2 linked regions of the Xenopus tropicalis genome follow. The protein of the gene in region 2 purifies or fractionates together with the protein of the main gene of each other region. This does not show direct contact. Links are inferred from orthologs where the notes say so. Each region holds a gene or a part of one and is shown on either strand. Other genes may lie near its edges.

Region 1 (7,958 bases), about 40 Mb from region 2:
CTGGTTCATCACATCTTGTGTATCTGGCTCTTTCCTGCACCAGGGATCACCTACTTGCCGGTAAGCAACTACCCCATGGGAGGGGCAAGGTGCCGGGAGTTGTGTGGAGTCCCTGAGAAAGGTTGCAGTGTAATATCAAGTTCCCAGGGTGGGAGTTATAGTCCCACAGCATTACCCCTGGGTGGAGGCACGCCAATAAGAGTGAAGACTCCCTGTTACCCCCATAGTAAGCAGGGGCTCAGGACTCCTGTAGCGCCAAAGTATAGCAAGTATATATATATATATATATATATATATATATATATATATATATATATATATATATACACACACACACACACACCTGTATACAGTTTATGATTAGTGCATAAAAACCAAAGTATGCCTTCAACAACATTGATGCTGAGTTTTAATATATGTAAGCATACACATTGACATATACCCACCAGATGCTTGTTTTTCACGCTCACTGCTCTAAAGGTCATACCTATTAAATGGGAACTATTGACCCTTTCTTATGATTCCATTTGCTTTGTCAGGTTTAGCTAACTGCACTAAATTTGGTCCTGTTGTTCTTACTAGTTAACTGTGTCAGAGTTCAAAAAGAAAATCCAAAAAAAAGGTTTGAGCTACAAATGATTATTATAGGATGGCACTGCACATGCTGTGATTGCCTTGCTTTTATTTACTGGCTTTACTGCATATGCACTAGTTTGTATAAAGCCATGTAGTGAACTAAATAATCTTCCCTGTTGCCGTTGAAGTACCGTCAGTTAACTTTTTTAATTTCTTTTTCAGAACACTATGTATTTGTTACATAGTATCTAGTGCAGTATACACTATTATTTTTTATTTTCGAATCAGTGGTCACCTTGCACAGCACAATGTCAGTAATCTGGCAGTGACATGGTTACATTAAAAAGACAATTTTTATGAAATATAACTTACTTTCTACTTACTATGTTTCATAAGCATTTAGTTTTCCTTAATGGGTTAATACTACCCCTTTCTTTTACGGGTTAATACCACATACTACAATGTACACAAGAATTTAAACCCATTGGCCCCAATACAATGTACACAAGAATTTAACCCCATTGGCCCCAATGCCAGATCCGGAAAATGTTGTTTTTAAAATATTCCCATCATATTAATAAGATATTAGTGCAGGTTGAAGAGATAGATACCAATACCTATGCTAACCATGTTGCATGGTTTAGTTTTGCTTTGGTTGTGACAAAAACAATTTGGAAGGCAATGCTAACTAAATAATATCTTAGGAGGTTACTGTTTATCTTCCCTGACAGAACATAATGAGAATAAAAGAAAGAATAAAGGGAATAGAGAATAATACTGATACGGAGAAGCACACATGAAAAATAATAGGCAAAATATATTTTAAAAGGCAATTAAAATGATGAAAGCAGAGAAGAAATGATATAGAAAGTAAAGGATAAGCAATGAGAAATATTGGTGAAGGGTCACCCTGGCTGAGGTCAATCCTAGGTACCTAGGGTACCTGACAATAGAACGCTTTATTGGTCCCATTACACTGGTGATCAAAAAGGAGGTGTAGCATAAGAACATCCCTGAGTCTAGTCTAGGTCAGTCAGTATCTCTGGGACGTCCTTGCTGCGTTATTTATACAAGCTGAGATGTAATCTTATGGCTGCATAATTTTGGCTTGAAATTCATCTGATGATGTTCTGAAAACACGGGGCGAACAATGAGTCAGTAGATGCTGAGAATATACAGTATTACTATAATCCGGCATATTAACCCCCACCCCCACAACTAGGTAATAGTTTGATTGAGACGCTCTCTCACCTGTCTGGTACCCAGAGGCGTGCGCTCCTGTCACGTGACACGGACACGAACCCCTCGCCCGGCCAAAGGGGGCAGCGCGCCACTCCCCGCACATCCAATTCGTGCCCCAGGAGGGAGCAGCGCAGCCGGTAACAGTTGTCACCGCCATCTCTTCCTGCCTGAGACATGACACAGCAGCCTGCTGCACCAGCACAGCCGGAAGTGATGAGACGGGACTCTGAATACTGGGCACCGGAGGAAGTGACGGCATTGCGCCCTCCCCAAGACCTCAGGTAGCCAGCAGTCAGTTAAAACACATAATGGTATCGGGACTGGTCATTCTTTACACATAGTCGTGTTTACAAACGCATACTAATCCTTGTCTCGAACTATGATCTAAGATATATTTATGGGAGCGATTAAGGTAAGCCGACACGCAGGCTACCTATGTACAGAAGCACCTGCACCATCAGTATATATACATCATGCTTGCCAGCCAACAAGCTGTGAGGAACCACAGCCCTTCTTGATTACGTCATTACGGACACGCCTGATTCATTCTCTCACGATACTTTTCCCATTCGTAGAACGTTGTTCGCCGGATAGCGTAAATCACGTGATTGAGTTGCTAAGCAACCGAGGTTCAGGCAGAAGCTGGGAAAGCGATTTATGCTGTATGTATATTTATAGTGTTTAAATAATTGTGTTGCTTTATTTACCTGTAATTAACGTGTGGGGTTATTAGGACTAACGCGTTTAAAGATTATAATTTTCTTTAAACAGTTTGGAAACAATTTTGAGAAAATATTCTGTTCTGTACAGCAAATAAAGCCAGTCGTATTTAATTTTGTGTAGGCAGTAGCAATTGTAGGGATCTGTGTTCACTGTTTGTCCGGGTGATACTGAAATGCAGCTCACAATACCTGAAACAGGATTGAGAAGTAGAACCATCCAAAAGAAAAGTTAAGGGGGAGTGTAATAAAAGGCACAAAGTTTGCAGTAACCCATAGCAACCATAAAGATGAGCAGTAAATAGTACCTGCTAACTGGTCACTTCAGGTGACTAGACCTGTAGCAAACCTTCCACCTATTTATTTATTAATATGAGTCGTATTGTGTAGCATAAAGTTGTTAGTTTTCTTTGTGGAATGGTTAGTATACACTAACTTCCATTGCATCTAGTCTAGAAATAATCTGGCAGGATTCCTGATTTTACTATAGATATTTTAGATTTGTCGTGGAGGCATGCTTTACAAAGTGGCAAACTTGCAACGAAGTTACAAGTTGCAAAGTATATTTTTGTCCAGTCGCATTCACAAATTTAAAAATCTTAAACACCTTTTTAGTACAGGATTTATGTCAGGGCATAGGGAAGAAGAGTACTTATTTATATATTAGCTAGTATGAGAGTTGTCTAACCTGACGTGAATATGACAATAAAAGTAATAATGGAAAGCACAAAGGAAATGCTGTGCTTGTGTTGAACTTTGTATGATTTGAGGATGTAGGTTTCTACAGCACTGGCACCCACCCTGACATTTTTATCTATGGTAACCACAATGGTGATATTGTATTACCTTTATACATTTTTTTTTTTATTTGTCTACAGTTGCTATGAAGTATTTGTTTAAACTTACCTCAGTACAAGCTGAGCTGCAATCACTGTACTTGCCCTTAAAATCCTTTGCTTAATTTTATTTAATCTTCACAGTCAACAATAAACATGGCTAACAATCAAAGACCACCATCAGCTCGACCTAGCACAAGAGGAGGCATTGGTCCCTTACAAAACAGACCACCAAGTGGAATGCGACCACCTCCTACTGCAAGCAGGCTGACAACAGCTGTAAGTAATTTAAAAATCTGTTTATATAATTGAATGTTAAAAGGGAAAAAAAAATGTAAATTTGCTTTTAAAGGTTAACCACTGTATATGCCATAATTGTTGTTGTATACATACATTTGTACAACAGGTTTTTATTATCTTGGGACCTTGTTTTTTCCATTTTTCTGTAATGTGGATGTCCATGCCTTAAGCTACTAAAAAACCTTTAAACATTAATGCTAGCTTTCTTAAAGAGGACCTATTATAAAAATCAAAATTTAATATCAGCTTCATCTCATGGAAATAATTAAGTTGCTCTCCAGTATTCCCCTTAGCAATATGTCTTTATTCAAGTAGAAATTAAAGTCAGATTTTGATTGACAGCTTTAATACTTCATCTTGATTGTGTTCCATTTGCCTGCAATGTATTAGAGCTAGCTGTCTTTTAATTATCTGTCAATCAAAATCTGATTATTATTTTATTGCAGAAAAGTAAGAACAGTACTGCAGTTTAAATGCTAAAGCTATATACATTCAAGGTTCAGAAATCAGATTTTTTTTTTGAAGATGATACCTGGCAGTGCACGACCTGGAACTAGAGGTGTTGTTCCCATGGGCACTGGAGGAGTTCTGTCAGCACAGATAAAAGTAGCAGACAGACCAGTCACCCAGCAGGGTCTGAGTGGAATGAAAACTGCAATGAAAGGTAGGTGCCTGTTCACAAAAAGTGAACAATTACTAAGGTGCAGGTGAATTCATTTTCGTGTATGCAGATGTATTGATTTTTTTTTTTTTTTACAATCACAATTTTTCAAACAATAAACATCTCCAAAAAATACACTGGTGCTTGCAGGCAATAGGAAAAATAATGCCTATATGAAATTGTATGCCTGTTGCAAGTATGCAAGTTTTCTATTTAATTTAAAGCTTAATTTTGTTTCTCAGGTCCCCAGAGACAGATTATGGACAAGTCTTACTTTCTGGGACTCCTAAGGTAAATTGACTAAGAAAAAAATTGCTTTAGTTTTTAAACATTTAAATATTTTTAGGTGAAAGTCCTGATTTTTCCATTTGCCTCAAAAAAAAATTTGCATCCATAACAATTGTATCTGAACGATTGCAGTGCTATGTTTGCATTTCCAACAGGTTCCAGGAGAAGGTAGCATAGGTCAGCATGTAAAAGGAACAAGAAGCCCACTTGAACACACTATTTTTGTAGCGGATCTATGCATAACTACAACTTGTAATTTGTGCAATGATGCATAGGTGCACAGCTTAGGATCCCACTGGATTTAGGATGCTCCTACATATGAAATCTTGACTTGTCCAGTGTGTTTTATGCTGTGCTTCTTTACTTGTCCAACTCTTGCTGGTGTAGTGTCCCTCATTCTTACTTCACCACATGCATTTAGTTTAAGGAGACATATCCTATAAAAATTATGAATGTACCAGTGAATTATACTTCTCTAGATATAGAAGGATTGTGCAAGGCTGTGAGTGGCTCTTCCCCTCTGTAAACTAGCGGGATCCAGGACAGACACTTTCTCGGCTTTAAGGCAGTTTATTTACACAGGGGTGCCCATTTCAGCATACAAAACAAATCATAAAAATAAATCCTGCGCTCTGGGCACTACCTTCACACATTACATTAGTTCCCTCACTAACCTGGGTCCCTTTTGGACTACCAGTAAGAAACCACAAATGTTGGGGTCACCCCTGTACTCACAACACTTCTGGGGGATTAGCTCAGCCTCCTGGCTTTCCTTTCAGCTCCTTAGACCCTCAGTCTCTTGGCAGCTTTCTCAAGTCTGGGCTCCCTCTGCTTCTGGCAGTGGCAGGCAGCACCCCCAGCCCCTCTGGGAGTCCTAACACAGAGAGGTATCCTTCCTGCTCTGTGCCCTGCTCTGAGAGACTGTCTCACACCTTTCTATACCATTAAATACCTTTTCCACAGGACAGCCTTCCTGTGGAAAGTATGCTCCAATAGGTGAGCTGGACTACTGGAATGGATCGCTTGATCCGCTTGTTCCTTCCTGAACCCTATAGCTTCCAGGGCCAGACAGCACAACCTTTTAAACAGAGCAAACCTTCTCTGTTTATCAACCTCTCTCCTAAAGGTTACATCTCCCACTATGGAGAACTTGAAGGGAAAGCTCACCTTTTCTCTCATTTGTTGGGTCACTCTACCACACCTCCTACAGTGCTTATGGCTGGGACCGTTAGAACACGCCCACCCTTTATTTCAAACACGGACAGAGAACTGATAGGCTCTATAGGGAGCTCCAATAAAGGGGCCATTTTTACAGATAGGATTCATTTTTAGCACAAAGTGAAACTAGCACCATATATTATTTATAATTGCCTAAAAAATTAGGGTCTGACTGGTAGATGTGCACATACTGAGAATCAGTGGTTATTCCTGAAAAACAAATTACTAATACTTTCATATTGACATATCTTTACCTGTTACCATTCATATGTAGTAAAATGAAAAGGATTTTTACAAATTTCCCCCTTAGACTTGCATGACATTAATACTAATTAACAAAGAATTGACAAATCAATTAAGTAGTAATCTAGCACTGCCCCTCAACTATAGCATCCCATTAAAAAAATTTGGATTCAGCTGCTCAAAGCAAAAAAGATTGATATAAAATACAGGTACCCTGAATAATAAACATGTTAATAACTGAAAATATGTATATTATAAAATAGTTTCTCCAACTAAAAAATATCATAACATGTATCAATATATTCTGATGTTCAAGATGGTATTATATTTCATGTGTGAATTTCATGCTGATGTATCAAAATATGATGTCTTTTATTAACAGGAGTAAAGTCAGCGAGCTTACCACAGAAATGACCAAACTGAAAAAAGAGATTGACACCTATAACCAGGAGAACTCTGTCTACCTGTCTTATGAGAAAAGGCAAGTTGCCTACTTTTTTTTACTGTAAAAATGAAATATGGCTTTTAAAGCAGTCATCAGTGCTTCAGTTGAACTGCAAACACATTTAAAGTATAATTTGTTAAATATTGTCAAACAAATCAAAAGGGTTGAGAAAACTGCCTCAAACGTATGTAAATAGACAAATGGGATTCTGGGAACTAATTCCACAAGGCTCTTAAAAAATCCCATTTACATGAACATGTCACTGAGAGTATTGGCCTTTCAGCATCGCTACAACCACCCACAAATGAATCCGAGTTGATTTCCATCCCGCTTCCCCTTTCAATCTGTACCGGGCCACCAGTTAGGGAAATCACAACCTCGGTGAAGCTCCAATTCACCAGTTACAGAGGGTACAGGGATTGAAAGTTCATACAACAGAAGAGAGGATGTCCGTCTACATAGATGATTTTCTTCTTTATTTGGAATACCTTAGAGCTGTTTTAGATATAGTGACCCAGAATTTTAGGGACTCAAGGTTAAGTAACTGGGGTAAGCATCTTGTATTCCCACTTAAACAGGACACCCAGGCCACTTTATCTGCAGATATCTACAACACCAGCAGACCTTGCCCCTATTAATTAAGATATATAAAATTATATTCTTACCTTCTAGGAAGGAGACAATGATATTAACATTTGTGGTACAGTTGCAGAAAGGGTCATAAACCTTCCTTCACTTTGCAATATTTTTACAGTATGCAGAGTGCTGCTCCTATCCCCAATACAAGTTTTCATTTAATGAAAAAGATGTATTCTCTGTATAAATTGAGTAACTTTACTAACATTGGGCCCAGTAAAGTAAATCATAGCAACCAATCGGCAATTAGGTACAGTAGAATAGTGAAACCACATTTATTTCATTATTACTGTTGCTTGTTTTGTAGTAAATGTCAGTAGTCAAAACTATTTTGTCCTTTTGCCTCTTTTTTTTTTTTTTTTTATGCGTAGGAATTTAAATGTATTGATAATGCTCTATATTTCTCTCGATTATCATGTAATCTAAATGTTTATTTTACTCTCTTTTTAGAGCTGAAGCCCTTGCTCTTGAAATCAAAGAACTGCAGGGGCAACTTGCAGACTACAATATGGTATTTTTCCTTCCTACATTCTGAAATTACTTTTTATTTTTTTGAAATTACTTTAATTTTTTGCTGTTTACAAACATAGTTATCAAATATTTAAGGTTAATTTAGTTTATTACAAATTAATTAATATAACTGCTTGCATAATCACAAACCCACCACTCCTGATTATTTGCCTGCTCAGAAAAAAACTCACTATTTACAACTTTAAATGCCTTGTTGTTTGTTCTTTTGTTGTTTTTTGACTTTATGAATTTGTGTTCTGTCACTTGAAATATTGTAAACTATA
Region 2 (7,484 bases):
ATATTTGCTCATCCTAAAAAAGACTTCCAAAAATAAGTATGTAAAGGCCTACATAGCTTACATCTAGACCTGTCTAAATATGGGTATGCAGTTGGCTACTATATTAAGAATATTAAGAATATATGAAATTCTTGGTCATGCTAGGTACAGAAAATGATCTGTCTTGTTTATGTTGGCATAGAATATTGTTACCGAATGTAAGTACCGTTTCAAAACAACCATAATAAATGTCGGCTTGGTTTGCACTGAGTAGAAATTAGCATGTCCCACTTAAAGCTGTTTTTTTCCTGTTCTTTCAGTTTAAACATTATGTCAGCAAATTGAGATTCAAAAGCTCAGTCTATAAGAAAAAACGACAGGAGCTGGCAGAACTTAGTGCTGAGAATGGCGTCTTGCAGAGGACAGAGGAGATCTTGAAACAACGACATGAGAATATACAGCAACAGCTGGTAATGACAAACTCTGTGCCTTAAATAATCATCTGTTTACTCTCAAGGAATGGAGTGCAGATGTGTCTCTCTGGGGAAGCTACTGAATTTCTGTACATGAAAGCAGATCCATAAAAAAGGAAAAATGAAATGTCAGGCTTTATTATATATATATATATATATATATATACATATATATAATTAAAATGCTGAAGAACTTTCACTTACTAGTAATGGTAGTTAGTCTTTGGGATTACATATTATGTTCATTACATTAAGTCAGTGAGGAAAATACAGATGGAGTTTTCATGTTACTTCTTTCTATGGCAGCAAGGCACCACTTGGCTTTATTGTAGCCATGAAATTGTGTTATTTTAGAGAGATGGGATTAATAGTGAAATGGGCTCTTTGCAGTGTGATAAAAAGCCAAAGTGTTTTACATAGAAATTGGTTGTGCAGTAGCTTTTGGAGCGGATAAGACAAAGTACGGCACTCAAAAGTTGAAAAGAAGCCAAACACCTCTTAGAATACCGCACTGTACTACATGAAATTCCCAATCATATTAAGTGCTGTAAAACAACCTGCAATTTTATGCCCCTCTACACTATGTATTTAGGTTATTTTTCGGTTATTTGGTGCATAGTTTACAGCTGTTACCAAATTATTTTTCTATATCCTGATCCTCAAAATATAAAAATAAAATAAAGTGAGGTTAACAAAGCACTTCAGTTGGGTGACTTTAGAAAAGCATGCACAGGGTTCCAACTACAGGTATAGGACCAATTATCCAGAATGCTCAGGACCTGGGGTTTCCTGGATAAGGGGTCTTTCTGTAATTTGGATCTCCATACTGTAAGTCTATTAAAAAAGAATTTAAACATTAAATAACCCCAGTAGAAGTGTTCTGCCTCCAGTAAGGATTAATATCTTAGTTGGAATCAAGTAGAAGGTACTATTTCATTATTACAGAGAAAAAGGAAATGGGAGATGGCCTTCTCTTAATTCAGAACTGTCTGGATAACAGGTTTTCAGATAACTGATCCCATATCAGACTCCCAGAGGAACTCCCACTTTTAATTCTGCAGTGCAATATATATTTGAATACCTGCAATGTAACTCTTGGCTATAAGACAGAGCAGCAGTAGCTGCCAACCAGTCTGAGCTGCAGGCAAATATGAATAGTAACTGTGCTAGGTTTAGAAATCCCATAAATGGAACATCCTTTAATATTTCTTGAGATTAGAAACTTTGAAAAGGGCTGTGGCTATTTTCTTGAGACTGCAGTTTTTTTATTTTTGTATAGAAAAAGATGGTTTATTATTAAAGGAACAGTAACACCAAAAAATGAAAGTGTATAAAAGTAATTACAATATAATGTACTGTTGCCCTGTATTGCTACAACTGGTGTGTTTGCCTTAGAAAGACTACTATAGTTTATATAAGTAAGCTGGTGTAGCCATGGGGGCAGCCATTCAAAGGGGAAAAGGCACAGGTTACTTAGCAAATAACAGATAAACCCCCATTATATGGGGCTTATCTACTAGTTATCTGCTATGTAACCTGTGCCTTTTCTCCTTTTTTCCAGCTTAAATGGCTGCCCCCATGGCTAAACAGCAGCTTATATATACAGTAGCTTTTCTGTAGCAAAAACACAATTTTTTTGCAGAGCAACAGCACATTATATTTTAATTACTTTAAAACACTTTAATTTTTTGATGTTACTGTTCCTTTAAGGTGACAATTCTTAATGATGTTGCTCCAAATGAAGTTTGCAAGACAGTCAGAAGTGATGAGCGGATTTGTCCCTCGTCGCTGAATAATTCGCAAATATTTCAAAAGATTCGCAAAATGGTGAAAAATTTGTGAAATGGCAAAAATGTTGTGCGGGTCATTCTTAGATGGCAAAAAAAAATCTCGCAAATCCACACCTGGCCATCACTATTAGTCAGAAGTTATTGCTTGGTAAAGCCAAACAAAATAAGCAGAAATTCTACAGTTTAATAACTTACAGCTTTTGTGTTTACCATTTTAAATTAGTTTTACTACCCAAATCTAGCAAACCTTTAACACCAAACTACACTGTTAGATTGAATACTATGATCTGTCCTTCCATCCATTTCATCTCTTTGGAAATTAGGGATTTGTTTCATTTCTCTTTTAGGTGGAAAAAAATCAAATTCAATGTAATTTACTTAACAAAAACTGGATTTCTGAATGTATTTTGTTTCTTGCAGCAAGCAATTGAACAGAAAAAAGGTATTCTTGGGTACAGTGACACGCAGGAGGAATTGGAGAGGGTGTCAGCGTTGAAGAGTGAAGTGGATGAAATGAAAGGAAGGACTCTGGATGACATTTCTGATATGGTGATTTTGCAATACATGAATATATGTGTTATATTTCCTACTTACACATGTGTTTTATGGCTAATAACTGCACCATAGAATCGAATGTTATGCTTCATACACACAAAGAGATAACATTACAGGAAACTAACATGTTTTTAGAAACGTGGCATCTCTGTATTTACCAGTTGTGTTAAAGGGGTGGTTCACTTTCAGGTTAACTTTTAGTATGTTATAGAATGGCCTATTCTTAGAGACTTTCCAATTGGTTTTCATTTATTAGTTTTTGAATTATTTGCCTTCCTCTTCTCATTCTTTCCAGCTTTCAAATAGGGGTCACTGATCCCAGCAGCTAAAACTCTTTTCCTCTGTGAGGCTACAATTTTATTGTTGTTGTTACTCTTTATTACTTACTTTTTTTATTTAGGCCCTCCTTTATTGATATTCTTGTCTCTCTTTCAAATGATTGCCTGGTTGCTAGTTTAAATTGGACCCTAGCAACCAAAAAGCCTGCTGAAGTTCCAAACTGGAGAGCTGCTGAACAAAAATCTAAATAATTAAATTACTGCAAATAGTAAAAAATGAAAATCATTTGCAAATTGTCTCAGAATATCTCTGTCTACAAAGTTAATTTAAAGCTCAACAACCCCTTCATTATTATTATTATTCCATTTCCAAGCATTTCAGGCTGCAACTAGCCCCCTGCTGGACTATACACCTCACTTGGTCATTGTAAAGAAAATATAGTAATATAATGGTAACGTGGCATGTGACTTGAGCTGATGGTCTGAAAACCAAAACTGCAAGCAGCCTCAGTAAATCTTTTATAGATGCTAGGCGAATATAAAGCAATAGGTAAATGATTAGACTTTCTGCAGTTAATATAAAATTGGACATATACAATGGTATAATACAAAAATTACAATTTACAACTGAGAACCCTTCAGCTATATAGTCAGCAGACGAAGACACAGTAAAAATGATCTGACTACAGCAAGACAAGCATAGATCGAGGAGACCTTGTTTCAGTAATAACTGCTTTAAGTTTCCTATTTATTTGTTTTCTGACAGGTAAAGAAATTGAATTCCAGGATAGCAGAGAAAAAGTCAGGACTGGCTCCAGTTATTAAAGAGTTGAGACCATTACGTCAGAGATGCCAGGTCTGTGAAAAGACTGTAAATACCCTCTAATAAGTATATAGTTACATGTTTGTTCTCAGAATGTATACAGGTATGGGATCCATTATCCAGAAAGTTCCGAATTACGGAAAGACCATCTCCCATAGACTGCATTATAAGCAAACAATTCTAATTTTATAATTACATAGTAAGTTAGGTTGACGTACGTCCATCACGTTCAACCATAATGCCTATATATAACCTGTCTAACTTCTAGTTTTTATATGATCCCCTTATATATTTATACATAGTTATCATGTCACCGCTTAAGCGCCTTTTCTCCAGTGTAAACAGACCCAACTTGGCCAGTCTTTCTTCATAACTGAGACTTTCCATACCCTTTACCAACTTAGTTGCCCTTCTCTGGACCCTCAATAACTCAATCATGTCCCGTTTTAGCACTGGAGACCAGAACTGAACAGCATACCGTATATACTCGAGTACAAGCCGATTTTTTCAGCACTAAAAATGTGCTCAAAAAGTAACCCTCGGCTTATACTCGAGTATACCTCCCTCCACTTATGTCCGTCCTGCCGATCTTGATCTGAAGATATAAGGCGCTCGCACCCAACCCCCCCGCCCCCGTGGCTGGAGGTGAGTGCATGCGCGTGCGACACAGACATACGTCCGTCCACGGGGGGGGTAAAAGTACCCTGCAGCCTGCTAGTCCTGCCGACTCTATTCATCTGAAGATGTGACATGTAACGCTTTCGCTGGCCGTCCTGCCGACTCTATTCATCTGAAGATGTGACATGTAACGTGCTCGCTGGCAGACAGGCAGCATAGACCAGGCAGTACCTACAATGTCTGAGGTGTGAACAGGTGAACAATGTGGTTGATTACAGCCTGAGTCTGAGGTGTGAACACTGCAGGGGGTAAACAATGCAGAAACTAAAAGGTGTGAATAGTACAGGGGATTACATTTTTAAACAATACAGGTGGATTACAGCCTGAATCTGAGGTGAGAACCATGCAGGGAGCCAGTTAATCTCAGTACTGATACCATTTAAAGCTTACTCAAAGGTAAGCCATCAAAGCAGCCAGACAGGTGGGGGGCCACACAGAGGAGGGACGCCAGTTGGACAGCCCTGCTCTACACGATTCTGATGTAGGGGAGATGCTTTTGCACAGCCGCAGTGTAGTAGCCGCAGAAATGTGATTGCAGCCATTTTATTTTCAGTTTTTTTTTTATTAAATTGAATTTGATGGCTGTGGCCTTGAGTGAAAGTAGACAAGATGTAGTAAAACCTTCTTTTTTATTTTTGGACTTTTACTATTATAGGTGACAGTTTTTTCTCATGTGAAAACAGTTCAGAAGTCCAGATTTTTTTTTTTACTTGGCTCTACTGGGGCCATATTTTATACTTTCAACAATTCTGCTGTAAAAAAAATTCTTGTAAATAAAACTATATTAAAAAATGCTTACGCAAATAGGACAAATAGGGTATTTGATTTGAAAACAATCTCACAGGTGGGGAAAAAGCACTAAAAAATCTTGAACTATTTTAAAAAAAAATTATTATTGCGAGAAAAGTTTGACCCGTGTTAAAAATACCATTTGTAGTCAAAATCAAGCAAAAACAAAACAAAGCATGAAAACCATGAATAAATGAATCATTTATGTTCAGTGACGTATGGCTAAGGATCTGATAGGTCGAGTCTCATTGGTTGAGTACTTTTGAATCTTCCTCTTTTAGAATCATATACTTGGAGTTGGAGCAGTCTATTTTGAGCAAAAATATGTTATACAAATATGCTATAGGCTTGTTTATTACAAAATCAGTTAAATGCTTTAATCAAATGGGGATTAATATTTTGTAAAAATCACTGCCTGTACACAGGTCAAAACCTCCTCTCAGAGCAAAATTTTCAGTCTAGGTTAAAGGAGTAAAGCTGCAGAATGCAAAAATTTGTATTTCTTTTAACCAGCCTTCTGTTTGAAACAAACCTCTGCTTGTTTTTCATTAGGAACTGACTCAAGAACACGATGACAAGAAAGCTCAATATGACAGCTGTGCTGCCGGCCTAGAGAGTAACCGATCAAAATCAGAGCAGGTATAAACTAGGCAAAATGAATCATTTTTCACTGGGGCAAATTCTTAGCATTCAAGTTAGCCTTATCATTTTCAAAAATTCTGAAGTGATAGTACAGCCTCTTATTTTGTGATGAATAGGAAAATATACTTTACTGGTAGACATTATCCTTCATTTATTTTCTTTATGTGAACTGTAAAGCAAAAGACAATGCTCTGTGTTAATTCATATAAGCAAGAGCTAACACATTGCAAAAACATTAATTTAATGCTAGGAATCAAGAGAGAGGGAGCAAGATGTCCTTTTGCCAAGTTGCTTACAGTCAACCCAGTGAATGGAAAGATAGATAATGGGTGCAATAGATTACAATACTGGGGGGAATTAATCAACATGTTCAAACTGTTTTCTGCTTAACAGACATGGAATGCATTAGGATGTAAAAGGAGTTTGTTCATGCTTAGGAAAAATAAAGGTCAGCCAATAGAGGGATGGTATGGCCAAGATAGATAGGATGAATATATATACACAAGGGTTTTAGTAGCCATAGGGTTAAGGGGGATCTGTTTGTATATGAAGTAGATAAGAATAGAAAAAGATGAGGAACATGAATTAGAGTAGCTCTGTTTAGTCTGTAGGGATGAGAATTTCAGATGTAATCCATTTTCATCAATCATCTACAGTGTCTTGAGAAGAATTTGGTTTATCAGTTTAGATGCTGAATATATTGATGCTGGCATTGACTGAGTTGTTATTATTTAGGTGCACTGTGGTAGTTTTTTGTTTTCGATTTTACGAGAATGCTTTTATAACAGAACATACGTTATAAAGTCAGATAAATCAGAAGGGCGACTTTTAATCTTGGGAAGTAGAACAGTAGTTATTCTTTCATCCCTGCAGTATTCACTTACATTTAAACTGGTCAATATTCACCCAGGGGTGCTAGCAAAGTGCATTTTCACTTTGTAAATAGCTTTTGAAGATTGAATTTGAGAAATGGAAAAACTGATTAATTACTATTTTGATACTCACAGTAAACATTAAAGTAGACTTGGGTATTTTTAAATTTAACATGTTTACCTTTCTACAATAGTGAAACATCATATATTTGATACAAATTTCAAGTTTTTTTCCCCTCCATAATAAAGGAAGTTCGAGGACTTAGGGAAGAGTGCAGCCAATTAGAGAGTCAGTATCATCTCATCAACTTGATGAAGAAGGTAAGGCTTGTGTGGCTCTCTTTGTCTTAACTTGAGACCTTTTATTTATTATATGCTCTCATATTCTTTCCCTTTCCTCCTTAGAGTGTTGAAGTACAGATACAACGAGCAGCAGATGAAATGAAAGCTTATGTTTCTCCTGACCCACAGGATCGCAGAAAAGCTATCAGGTACCCAGGGTTAGATTCCAGTCTAGGCTTATCCTCCACCAATATTTGCTAAGTAGAGAGACTGCCAAGACCAAAGCATTGGTTTCACAGACTTAATGCTTGTGGCATTTAAGG

What was found. Proteins that work in one complex are often made in the same cells at the same time.
Region 1: the proteins of ift81 (region 2) and ift74 purify together in Homo sapiens (affinity purification with mass spectrometry; 3 studies listed by BioGRID and IntAct, counting the BioPlex papers as one, with this or other methods). This does not show direct contact. The link is inferred for Xenopus tropicalis from reciprocal best matches to the Homo sapiens genes IFT81 and IFT74.

Annotation. Positions count from the first base shown.
Region 1 is NC_030677.2:122,251,878-122,259,835, forward strand, and holds the start of ift74 (intraflagellar transport protein 74 homolog), read left to right. Parts: upstream 1-2,454; 5' UTR 2,455-2,480; intron 2,481-2,863; exon of another isoform or gene 2,864-2,954; coding exon of another isoform or gene 2,955-2,957; intron 2,958-3,517; coding exon of another isoform or gene 3,518-3,529; coding exon 3,530-3,652; intron 3,653-4,198; coding exon 4,199-4,337; intron 4,338-4,576; coding exon 4,577-4,625; intron 4,626-6,465; coding exon 6,466-6,564; intron 6,565-7,614; coding exon 7,615-7,675; intron 7,676-7,958. Other genes in the region: plaa (phospholipase A-2-activating protein), read right to left, coding at 1,828-1,994. UniProt on the Homo sapiens protein: Component of the intraflagellar transport (IFT) complex B: together with IFT81, forms a tubulin-binding module that specifically mediates transport of tubulin within the cilium. Binds beta-tubulin via its basic region. Required for ciliogenesis.
Region 2 is NC_030677.2:162,600,792-162,608,275, forward strand, and holds part of ift81 (intraflagellar transport protein 81 homolog), read left to right. Parts: intron 1-299; coding exon 300-449; intron 450-2,662; coding exon 2,663-2,791; intron 2,792-3,841; coding exon 3,842-3,931; intron 3,932-5,917; coding exon 5,918-6,004; intron 6,005-7,128; coding exon 7,129-7,200; intron 7,201-7,284; coding exon 7,285-7,370; intron 7,371-7,484. UniProt on the Homo sapiens protein: Component of the intraflagellar transport (IFT) complex B: together with IFT74, forms a tubulin-binding module that specifically mediates transport of tubulin within the cilium. Binds tubulin via its CH (calponin-homology)-like region.